3 linked regions of the Lepisosteus oculatus genome follow. The protein of the gene in region 1 purifies or fractionates together with the protein of each later gene. This does not show direct contact. Links are inferred from orthologs where the notes say so. Each region holds a gene or a part of one and is shown in the gene's direction. Other genes may lie near its edges.

Evidence for each region.
Region 2: the proteins of nuclear RNA export factor 1 (region 1) and rangap1b purify together in Homo sapiens (co-immunoprecipitation; 3 studies listed by BioGRID and IntAct, with this or other methods). This does not show direct contact. The link is inferred for Lepisosteus oculatus from reciprocal best matches to the Homo sapiens genes NXF1 and RANGAP1.
Region 3: the proteins of nuclear RNA export factor 1 (region 1) and UAP56-interacting factor purify together in Homo sapiens (affinity purification with western blotting; 3 studies listed by BioGRID and IntAct, with this or other methods). This does not show direct contact. The link is inferred for Lepisosteus oculatus from reciprocal best matches to the Homo sapiens genes NXF1 and FYTTD1.

What each region holds. Positions count from the first base shown.
Region 1 is NC_090713.1:22,974,366-22,978,111, forward strand, and holds the start of nuclear RNA export factor 1, read left to right. Parts: upstream 1-1,118; 5' UTR 1,119-1,251; coding exon 1,252-1,315; intron 1,316-2,402; exon of another isoform or gene 2,403-2,629; coding exon of another isoform or gene 2,630-2,663; intron 2,664-3,746.
Region 2 is NC_090707.1:38,120,139-38,123,884, reverse strand, and holds the start of rangap1b (ran GTPase-activating protein 1b), read left to right. Parts: upstream 1-979; 5' UTR 980-1,001; exon of another isoform or gene 1,002-1,027; intron 1,028-1,071; exon of another isoform or gene 1,072-1,380; intron 1,381-1,406; coding exon of another isoform or gene 1,407-1,453; exon of another isoform or gene 1,454-1,505; intron 1,506-1,530; exon of another isoform or gene 1,531-1,719; intron 1,720-2,240; exon of another isoform or gene 2,241-2,407; intron 2,408-3,455; 5' UTR 3,456-3,463; coding exon 3,464-3,575; intron 3,576-3,746. UniProt on the Homo sapiens protein: GTPase activator for RAN. Converts cytoplasmic GTP-bound RAN to GDP-bound RAN, which is essential for RAN-mediated nuclear import and export. Mediates dissociation of cargo from nuclear export complexes containing XPO1, RAN and RANBP2 after nuclear export.
Region 3 is NC_090708.1:16,909,253-16,912,998, reverse strand, and holds the start of UAP56-interacting factor, read left to right. Parts: upstream 1-1,470; 5' UTR 1,471-1,592; coding exon 1,593-1,695; intron 1,696-2,624; coding exon 2,625-2,759; intron 2,760-3,115; coding exon 3,116-3,264; intron 3,265-3,746. UniProt on the Homo sapiens protein: Required for mRNA export from the nucleus to the cytoplasm. Acts as an adapter that uses the DDX39B/UAP56-NFX1 pathway to ensure efficient mRNA export and delivering to the nuclear pore.

The sequences.
Region 1 (3,746 bases):
ACAGGCTTTAGTTTGCACCTGAGACAGAAAACCTTTCCCGCGCATTGTCACTGTCGTGACCTTTTGGCCCGGTCTTCCACAGGCTCACCCTGCTGGGCTCCAGTGGGCTGCCAGCTGGGAGTTGCAGAGTGATATGGCTGCTGGCCACTTAATTCAATCAATTCAATCAACTGCCCTGATTTATAATAATAATAATAATAATAATAATAATAATTGCTTACACTTATATAGCGCTTTTCTGGACACTCCACTCAAAGCGCTTTACAGGTAATGGGGATCCCCTCCACCACCACCAATGTGTACCCCCACCTGGATGATGGGACGGCAGCCATAGTGCGCCAGAACGCTCACCACACACCAGCTCTCAGTGGGGAGGAGAGCAGAGTGATGTAGCCAATTCATAGAGGCGGATTATTAGGAGGCCATGATTGGTAAGGGCCGATGGGAAATTTGGCCAGGACACCGGGGTTACACCCCTACTCTTTTCGAGAAGAGCCCTGGGATTTTTAATGACCACAGAGAGTCAGGACCTCGGTTTTACGTCTCATCCGAAGGACGGCGCCTCTTTACAGTATAGTGTCCCCGTCACTATACTGGGGCATCAGGACCCACATGGACCGCAGGGTGAGCGCCCCCCGCTGGCCCCACTAACACCTCTTCCAGCAGCAACCTTAGTTTTTCCCAGGAGGTCTCCCATCCAGGTACTGACCAGGCTCACACCTGCTTAGCTTCAGTGGGTTGCCAGTTGTGAGTTGCAGGGTGATATGGCTGCTGGCAATATCAGCAGCTGTTCCTGCATTAAGGCTCTGTATTTTATATAGCGCCTTTCACGACCAGTCCCCTCCGAACCGCGATGGGAGCGGCAGGCTCACCAGGAAGTGGAGGGAAGCTGACGTCATTGGCCCCGCCCAGAACGCGGAGACCCCACCCCACCCCTCGCCTCTCTTCGAAGCGTCCCGCGAGGAGCGGCGTCGCCTCAAACGGACATGCGCAGTATCCCGCACTCCACCTCCAGGGGGCGCCGCTCCGTCGCCCGTGGCCCCGAACCCCCCCCCCCCTCCTTTTCCCCGCCCCCTGTCACGTGACCCCCCCGCCCGGCTGTCTGAAGTTGGCGCGGGAGAGGCTCGCGCCGGGGGGTAACGGTCGCTCTCTGGAGCCCGGAATCACCTTGTTAATCAGCGACCATTATAATAATAAAAAATAAGTAAGTGAATAACGAATTTTAAGAAGTCATTGGCGACGGTGACGACGATGGCGTTCTTTCCCAAGTGGTACGAGGACTTCGCGGTGGTGAGGCGCAGGGACGCGGAGACAGGTACACGCGTGAGGAATGACTTGTGCTCGGTTAGTTTCGGACCTGTATCGCCCCACTCGTGTTTGTCACACACAGATGTGTCTGTCAGAGAGGCCCCCTCCCGAGCCGGGTTCAGAAACGGGGCTCACTCCGTCGCGCTGGCGTGAAACCCTCGGCACCCCCACTCCGCTAACAAACCCCACGATAATTCCTCCCCCGGGCGCCCGGTGGCGATTTGGTTTTGGCCGGGTTGAAGCGGGGACACGCGTGGGCCGTCTCGCTCGTGTCCGAGCGCCCACGTGAAACTGAGCTCCTTGCTACTCGTACGAAACACGTGCATCTAATTAGATAAGGGGTACAGGTCAGATCACACTGGGGGCTCCAGTCCAGTAGGACAGTCTGTTACACTGGGGGCTCCAGTCCAGTAGAAGTGTCTGTTTCACTGGGAGCTCCAGTCCCAGTCCAGTTACACTGGGAGCTCCAGTCCAGTAGAAGTGTCTGTTTCACTGGGAGCTCCAGTCCAGTAGGACAGTCTGTTTCACTGGGAGCTCCAGTCCAGTAGAAGTGTCTGTTTCACTGGGAGCTCCAGTCCCAGTACAGTTCCACTAGTATTGTTGGGCTCCTTGCTCCTGGTGCTGCTGGCGGTCCAGGAAGTGATGGAGTGCTCAGGCTCGGCTCTTGGTTCCTCAGGCAGCGCGGTGTCTGCCCCGGTCCTCCGGACCCCCCGGCCTTGTGGGCTTCCTCTCGGCCAGATCATGCGCCATCCCGGGCTTCCCCTGTGCCTCTGTCACTCGTGTCTTGTCAAATTCCCCGAAGCTGAATCTGCCCAACGCAAGGTTTACTGGTGGCCAGCCAGTGTCAGCTGGCGAAGCTGGAGAGCTCCGCAGTCATGATAGATGGCATCTGATTGCGGACGGACGCCCTGGGTTCTTGTGTGTTTTGTTATCACTGCGCACAGCCCCCCTCGGGTCTGAAAAGTGTTTTATACCTCAGCTACGCGACGCCAGCTCCCTGGAACCCCGCACCCTACCATATAGGGAGCCGGGCGTCCGTCCACACAGGAAGTGCGTCACCGGAAGCTGGCCGCTTGTAGTTCTGCGGGCTCGGGGCGGCGGAGACGTATTGCGCAAGCGCAGTGTTGATCTCCCAGCTTGTGTCGCCAAAGCACAGCGATCGCACTTGTGCGGGTAGAGGAAAGAAGCGCCGATCAGGACGTTTTTACAGTAGCGCGTCGGCTGGATTATTGCATGAGCACAGCAGGGTAGTCTTCTCGGGCCGTGCGAGTCTTCTCGGGAGCGATCGTGGGAGCTTTCTTTCGTGGAGTGCGTGGGGAGCATGGCGATGGCGGACGAGGGCCGGTACTATAGCGGTAAGTGATGGAGCTTCTCCCTGTCCAGCTCAGCCAAAATGGAGACCCGCGTCCTCCAGCTGGGGAGGCGAGGGCAGACTGCGGGCCGCCGAGATCTCAGGAAGGCGCCCTTCGTGACGCGCGGTGCGGGTTTGTTCTCGTCCTTTCGCGGATCGCGGCTCCGGTCCAGTCCGGTGCCGTGACGCGCTTTCAGCGGGAGGGCCAGTGTCGCAGGGCGCCTGTGCGTGCGTCTGTCTTCGTCCCCGTCCTCGCCTCGCAGTCGTGACGCCGACCCCGAGACCAGGAGACGGGCTGGGGAGAGCAGGTCGTTCCCGGGGCAGAGGGGACCCCCGCTCCGGCTGCTGTTCCCCTGTAGCTGCCCGGTGGTCGCACGGACCCCCGGTGGCGCAGAACAGCGGTCAGGCTGAAGTGTCGCCCCAGCCCCTCCGGTCCTGCGCGCTGCCGAGAGGACCCCAGGCTCCCGGCTCGGGATCGCTGCCGACCCCTCTCACCCTGACCGTCCTGTCTTTCCAGTCTCCCATCAGGAAAGATTAGGTCAGGTGGCACCAGGAGCACAAGGCAGACTCTCATTAATCACCTGCGTTGACCACTGGACATTACTTTAACTGTGTTATCAAAATTGAATGTTGATTATTTAGTTTACAGCCATAGTATTATGTGCAATAATAATGTTATCTGTATGTGGGTATTTATTATGGATAGTTTATTTATCATTTACAAGTATATATGTGTGGGATTATCACGTAGGGAGAGTTCTGACACCTTCTTGAAGTGCAATATATATTTTTTCTTTAATTTCTGAAATGTATGTCGTGTTTTATGTGTCTAGTATATGTGGCGTGTTTGTATGTATACAGTGTATGAACAACTCACCAAGTCAAATTCTTTGTAAGTGAACACTTACTTGGCCAATAAAGAGATCTTTTGATTCACCGATACTGTAGCACATCCATTAGTTATCCTGCTCCCAGAATGTGCAGGCGCTCGGGGCTGATCCAGTGACAGTGTATCACAGTGTCCACGGACAGCGCTGTTTCAGAGGGACAGGAGCTGCAGCAGTGTGAAGTCAACAAGCCGAAGGCC
Region 2 (3,746 bases), on another chromosome or scaffold:
TTCACAAGTGGCATGTCATTTCACGCAGGGTTGTGGGAAATGTGGGGGAAACAATCCCCTCAGCCATGTTGCTGAAGCCACTACCCTGGCTTCTTCCAAGAAACGGCAGTTTGACATGCTTCACTCGGGACAAAACACCGCTTTACGCAAAGGGAGGTGGAGGTGTGGAACAAGTTACCCAGCCATGCTGTTAAAGCTGATACACCAGCTTCTTTCACTTAAAAGCCCGATGAGATCCGTAAACAAACGCACTAGACCGGCCGAATGTCCCCCATAACTGTGTTTATGTGCTTTCTTCTTTTTCTACGGCCTGTTTGTACAGTTACCGGTGAAGACAAGTTAATTACATTTCCGCTGTCGGGCTGTGAAAGACACGATTTAGCAGGGCGTGAAAGGCGCTATATGTCCCAAATGTTGTGTGGGGTAGCTATCAAGTTAGGAAAAACAACTTTCTGAAATAATTTCATATACCGCGAATTTAAATTCGTCGCCTGTCCGAGTAGAACAGGGCTAAAACTTCGCCGCATTCCGATACAAATCCAGAAAAATCCAAGGCAACGACACAACCTTTTCAAATTTTTGTGTAGTTTCGTACAAACAATCAGAAACAAAGTTACAACGTCAGGCTACACGGGGCGATTTGGTTCAACTAGAAAGAGGTACACATATAAAATGTCTACCGGGCGCAAGGAAAGCCGTTTGCGAAAACTGAACTTTATCCATCTCTCCGGCCTACACAACACCTCTCATCCCCGGGCTCGAGTGCGCACAGTGGCTGACGAGGGGAGCCCTGCCAGCCCCGTCGGACACGCAGGCGGTGCCGATCTGCAAGGAAGACGGGCGCTTCCTGTCGCCAACAAAACCGTACCAAACCGACAGCGAGCGATTTAAATCCACTGTGGGCACACCGTGTAAAGCCCGGCGATAGACCGTTTTGCTCAAACGGAAGCGAGTGTTGAAATTTACGCACACCTCCCCCGTTTTGCGCGTTGTATTAACAGGTAAGTCGATAGCAACTGGTTTGAACACGTTTTTAGGTGTTTTTTTTTTTTTGAGGGAAGAAACGAGTACCTGCGAACTTCACCGCATCACCTCAACACGCCTGGGCCAGCAACGTCACTTTCATGAATGATCCCAAAAGGCAAATTACGACGCCTTTCCCGGCGCTCATTTAATTTAGTCGGTGCCGGTCGTGCCCGCAAAATACCTGCAACTTATCCTTGGGGAGGGAAAACAAAAACAACACAGTTTTCTTTTTCCACTCCGCTGTCATCGGAGTGAACGACTCAAACTCATTCCCCCAGCCCCTGCAAAAAAAAAAATAATCAGGTACGGTTTCCTCTCCTGATAGCAGAAGGCCAGCGTTATCAGAATACTTTTGCGTAAGGATGTTGTTTTTAACTTACTGGCGTCTTCCAAAAAAAAAAGAGAGAGATAGAAACATCACCCGCATCTGTGCCTTAATGCATGCTCTTTAAATCATCATCTCAGCAGCATCTCTCTCTAAAGCAACAGAATACACCAACTCGCCTTTGGCTGCTATCCTTCCTGTTGTGCTGAATTCCAGCGTGGGGGATGTGTTCGTGTATCTCCGGCTACTGGCCTGTGTTTTTGCGCCGCTACGGTTTCATAGCCGAAGTTGTTGCTAGTGGCTCAGGCTCCGGGCCAGGCGCTATGGAGGGGAAACATGTGGGAAATTTCACTTTCAATTCTTTCCAGTTCCCAGCAAGTTTGGCCCCGCTGCTTCAGCCCGCGGGTCCTAAAGAGAGACGGGTTTCCCGGGGAGAGAAAAGTCTGCCTCCGGGTTTCTGACCCCTCTGATCCCGTTTAAATACTGCATTCCTCGCCTGAAAACGTCCAGGGAAGGGGAAATAATATAACTGATGTTCTTTTTTTTGTTGTTAAAAATTGCGGATAGTCATTTTTTTTAATTGTGGATAGTATGGTATACTTCATTCTGTCACATGTGTTAATGTCCCTTTAATGCATAAAGGGCTTTACTCATAATCAGAGCGCTAACTGAAGGATGTGCTTCTTAAAACTGACTCACTGGGACTGCAAATTAAAAAAAAAAATAACACTTGATGTTATGTTCACTTTTAACGCGCATCTGCCCAGCAAGCTCCCCCGACACCCCGGTAATGACTCTGCCGCACAGATCCCTGGGAGTTGGGGTCTTCCTCTGTGCCCGGCGGCTGTGGCGGCGAAGGCGGAGGGGATTAGAACTACACCTCCCGTCGGGCCCAGCGGCAGGCCGGTTTCAAAATAGCGCTACGCCATTTCAGCTTCCCTCAGCGAGCGGGACGCGGCGTGACCGGGCCGCAAGAGGAAGCGATTCTTTTTCGTTTTCCCCTCGAACTCAAACCCCGACGACGAGGGACGCCTGCGATCTCGACTCTCTCTCTCGGTAATCGCCGGACCCGCATCCCCGGGTTTCTTGACGCGGGCGGGTCCGTTTGGAGCCGGGATCGAGCCGCGGCTCGTGCGGGAGAGCGGGCGGGCGGGAGGCGAGCCGGCGCGCGTGCATTGTCCGAGGCTCGAGAACGTCAAAACTTTTTCTGCCGACATTTTCACCGGCGTCGGTTTTGTTTTTGTTTATTTATATATATATTAAACTAATTAGGATCTGAATGAGGCCGGGGGGGGGGGTGGGTGAGACCGGCAGCAGGGGAGGCGGGAGGGGAGCGCTGTCACCGGCTGAGGGACATTTAAACACCGGCGGCCGGGTCGTCATCGTGATGGTTTCCTGTGCTGGTCGTGAGCAGAGTATTGAAACTGCACGCATCTATCGGGGTACTGGGGGGGGGGGGGGTCCCCTTCGCTTTAGCGTGCGAGGTGCAGTGCGGGGCCCCGGGGGGGCGGGAGAGGCTGGGGTATCGGAGGAGGAGGTGGCCACCTGTTCGCTCTGGAGCCCTTCATCGCAGCTGTGGGGTACCGGGGGGCTGAGGCCTGAGGGGCAGGCTCGCTCTTGGTGGGGTAGTTTCAGGGTGTATTGACGGGGTCACTATGCGCCGCTGTGTCTTGGGGTACAGTGTGAAAGAGGGGGTCAGTGTGGAAGGCTGTGCTGGTGGTTGGGGTGCAGTGTGAAAGTGGGGGTCAGTGTGGAAGGCTGTGCTGGTGGTTGGGGTACAGTGTGAAAGTGGGGGTCAGTGTGGAAGGCTGTGCTGGTTGTTGGGGTACAGTGTGAAAGTGGGGGTCAGTGTGGAAGGCTGTGCTGGTGGTTGGGGCACAGTGTGAAAGAGGGGGTCAGTGTGGAAGGCTGTGCTGGTTGTTGGGGTACAGTGTGGAAGAGGGGTGCAGTGTGGAAGGCTGTGCTGGTTGTTGGGGCGCAGTGTGAAAGTGGGGGTCAGTGTGGAAGGCTGTGCTGGTGGTTGGGGTACAGTGTGGAAGAGGGGGTCAGTGTGGAAGGCTGTGCTGGTTGTTGGGGCGCAGTGATAAAGGCTGTGCTGCTGCAGGTACCCCGATGGCTTCGGAGGACATTGCCCAGCTGGCCGACTCTCTGGCCAAGACCCAGGTGGTGGAGGGGGAGCTGAGCTACAAGGGCAAAGGACTGAAACTGGACAGCGCCCAGGCTGGTAAGGACACCCCCTCTCTCCCTCTCTCCCTCTCCCACTCTTTTCTCCTCTCTCCTCTCTCTGTAGTGGGAGACTGAGCAGGTCACTCGCACCCTGTGTCTCCTCTCTCTGTAGTGGGGGACTGAGCAGGTCACTCGCACCCTGTGTCTCCTCTCTCTGTAGTGGGAGACT
Region 3 (3,746 bases), on another chromosome or scaffold:
TTGTTTTGAGAAAAGCTATCAGCACCAACACGGCTAGTGATATTCCCTTCATTTGTGGTTTGGACTCCTGTCTGTAGGTTATACATTTTATAAATACTTCTTCATTGTATTGGTATAACGCCTATTGTCCTTAAGGATCTCAAAAGATTTTATATATAGGGGACCTCTTCAGCCAGCATTAACAACTGAAGTGCAGTCCCCTTATAAAAGAGGATTAAATTGAATTAAAAAGGTAGTTTCAGGAGGGCACCCCTTTTCTTACAAATTACATAATGGGTGAGTACAAAAAACTGGCTAAGGATGTGACAACAGGAGTGATAGAGACCCATTAGGCCAACAATTCACACAAATAATTCTATATGAACTCTGAAACAGTAAAGGCCAAAGATCCTACAAGGCATCGGTGTTGGTAACATAGTGGAATTCTAACAAAATGTATTTACTATTTTGTTACCCTCTTTTTAAAAAAAAAAAGATACACGCACCAGAAAAAATGCATTGTTGGCAATGTTTAACGCACCAAAGGCTTAATTTAAAAAAAAAGCTTGATGAAACGTCCTTTTACGCGAGGATCCTTTCGCAGTTGTATGTGCATACACCGCAGGCTATCGTGCAATACGCCTTTTTATCCATTACAAGGGGATGAACACACAATCATAAATTATTTACATATAAACACATGGAACATGTCGCCAGCAGCCATATCACCCTGCAGCTCTCAACGGGCTACCCACTGAAGCTAAGCAGGGTTGAGCCTGGCCAGTACCTGCATGGGAGACCTCCTGGGAAGCTATGGTTGCTGCTGGAAGTGGTGTTAGTGGGGCCAGCGGGGGTCCTAATGCAGTATAGTGGCGGGGACACTGTACTGTAATGGCGCTGTCTTTCAGATCAGACGTTAAACCGAGGTCCTGACTCTCATTGGTCATTAAAGACTCCCCAGGCATTTCTCAGAAAGAGTAGGGAGTTATCCCGGTGTCCAGGGGGCCAAATTTCCCCCCTCGGCCTTTACCGTGGCTCCAAATTGTCCCCATGTATGATCGCCCTGCGATGGACTGGCGCCCTGTCCTGTCCAGGGTGTACCCTGCCTTGCGCAAGTTGCTTGCTGGGTAGGCTCTGGCTTCCCCCAACACCGCATGGTATAAAGAGGTTTGGTGGATGACATGACATATGGAACATTACTGGGAGACAGGCTCACTGTTCCTCAGGCTGTGACAGGAGGTCACGTCCTGGGCTGCCAGTTCAGCTGAGTTCCCTCCTCCCTCTCCCAGTAGGATTGGGAGTTGTTGTGATTCTGGCAGGTGAGGGAATTCTGGGATTAGATTTATAAATTTAGGGAAGAGTGTTTGTCGAATCCCAGAATATCTATCACAGTGGAGCATCTCTGTCTCTCCCCGCTGGCAGTGGGAGCACAGCCTGTCCTCTCAGAAAGCTGTCGTCTCCTGTCATTGGCTGTGACGTGTGCTGCGCGCCTGCGCAGAGCAGGTTTCGTGTCTGAATGGACACGGGGAGAAGAAGGAGGTGGGGGTTAGGCTGCACTGTGCCATCCAGTCCAAAATACAGACGTATACACAAAGGCCTGGCACAGCCCTGACATGAGCGGTATCGGGTTCAAGTCTGGCGGTGTCCCTGCCTTGAGGAATGGCCCGGGGACCAGCGGCGGCTCTGACGGCCTGGATAAGATTGACATGTCGCTAGGTAAGGCCGCACGGAGCCGGGGAGTCCAGGTGGGGAGGCAGCCCGGTTTAGAGCTCTCAGACAGCAGCGCTGCGGTAAACACCGGGGGGATGGGGATAACGGTACTACTTTCGGGACTGTACGGAAAGCTCCAGCCACCGAGAGGCTTGTCGTTAAAGAGCTTGCAGTAACAGCGGTGTGTGTGTGGCTGTCCGGTTTGTGTGAGTTGTGTAGTGTGGCAGTCCAATAGGACAGGTTTCACGGGTCACCCTTAAATCACCAGTTGGCAGGGGCTTCGACCAGTTTCGGTTCAACCACTTTTAAGTGGGTTGTTGAACAGTTCAGAGTTCTAGTCAATAGTTCAGAGATCACGACAGAAAGAAACAACAACGCTCAATACCGAGAAGCTCAGGATGTTGGCTCTATTAACTCAGAAATGGCCAATTATGTATTTATTCAAACCTCATTTGTATAGCGCCTAATACCCTAAGGGTCTGAAAAAACGTCCTATCTGTAGGGGACCCCTTCACCAGCCCTTATAGTTATAGAGGGGTCTACATACAACACGTTTCCCTAAGCGGTGTGCATACAGCGTGCATTTCAGTCTAGTTTTCTGCATAGTAAAGTCTGTGCGAGTTGTCTGGGTACAGCTTTCTGGTCTTCTACAGAGTGCAGTTTATATATGCATAGTCTCCTTCTTCAGTGTACAGTGATGGTCTATACAGAGTACAGCGTTTCTCATAGTCTGAATATAGTGAACAGTATACCTACACATAGTACGTTCACTGTACATGTCAATTTACCTTGTCCATGATGTTAGAAAGTCTGTCTGCAGCGTGGGCAGTCAGTCTGTGCGTGCAATGCATGTCTCTTTCCCATCCTCTCTCAGGCACTCTTTATAACCTCGCACTCCTCCTCTCCTTGTCATCCTCCCCTCCCACCCCCCGCAGATGATATCATCCGACTGAACAGGAAGGAGCAGAGGACCCAGTGGGCTGGCGCTGGGCCCCGGAGGCCCCGTGTCAATGGCCGGCTCACCCAGGGCTGGCGAGGGCCGGCCTGGGCAGGGGGTCAGCAGCAGAGAGGTAGCTACATGCTGATACCCTGTCGTGTCACACATGTTAATAGACTCGCAGGGAACATACTGGTACTGATGCACTGATAAGCAGGGAAGCATTGTAATTGTTGAGATGCCTCCAAAGCACTTTGAGAAGCCACTTTTAATGGTGCTGTATAAAATAAAGTCTATTAGCAGTGTTGCATTAAACAGTATACCCTTGTTGAAGATTGTCGAAGATGCCTTTGGCGTGTGTTGTCTCAACATTTTTCTGTCTCCCTTCCTTATTTCCTGTCTCTGCCACATCTGTCACCCCCATCTCTTTTTCCTCTCTCTCTCGCTCCTTCTCGTCTGTTTCCTCTCTTGTCCTCTTCCTCCCGGGAGGTGTGGGATACCTGGGGGCTCGAGGCCGGAGGGGGGTGGCCCCCGTTCTCCGCCGGAGGGGTCAAGGTGTTGTTACCGGGTTGGCCGCCCGCAGGAATGCTGTGCTGCTCAAGGGGATCAGCCCCTTGAACCGACCGCCGCTCACACAGGTACGGAGTGAGAGGGTGTGTGTGCAGAGAGAAATGGAAAGAGGGCAGAGCGATCATGTCTTAGAGCTGGGAGGCCGTTTAAGTGCACGTGCATGTCAGCGTGTCTGTGGACAAGTGTATGATGTCAATATAAAGCTGTGTCGGGTGCGATAGGGACTTGGACCATTGTCAAGGCTGGACAGGTTTGAGTTGCTCAGGGTGTGCTTCAGCTGAATCCTGCCTGACGACAGTGAGCTTGGAGATGTGTTTGCCTGCATCGGCCCTCTCCAAGGCGACAGCTGTGCTGTAGGTGGCATGAGACACAGCCTGCTGATCTTTACCTTGAATGTTTCAGAAGGTGCATGCAGTCACCATCTCTGTCCTGTGCATAAGAGAGTCCTTCTGCATGGATGAGTTAATAATGATAATTGGCAATTCCTTATTAAGGTTTCTAACAAGAAAAGTGAATCCAAAATTTTAGATGAAATGGAATTCCTCTGTAT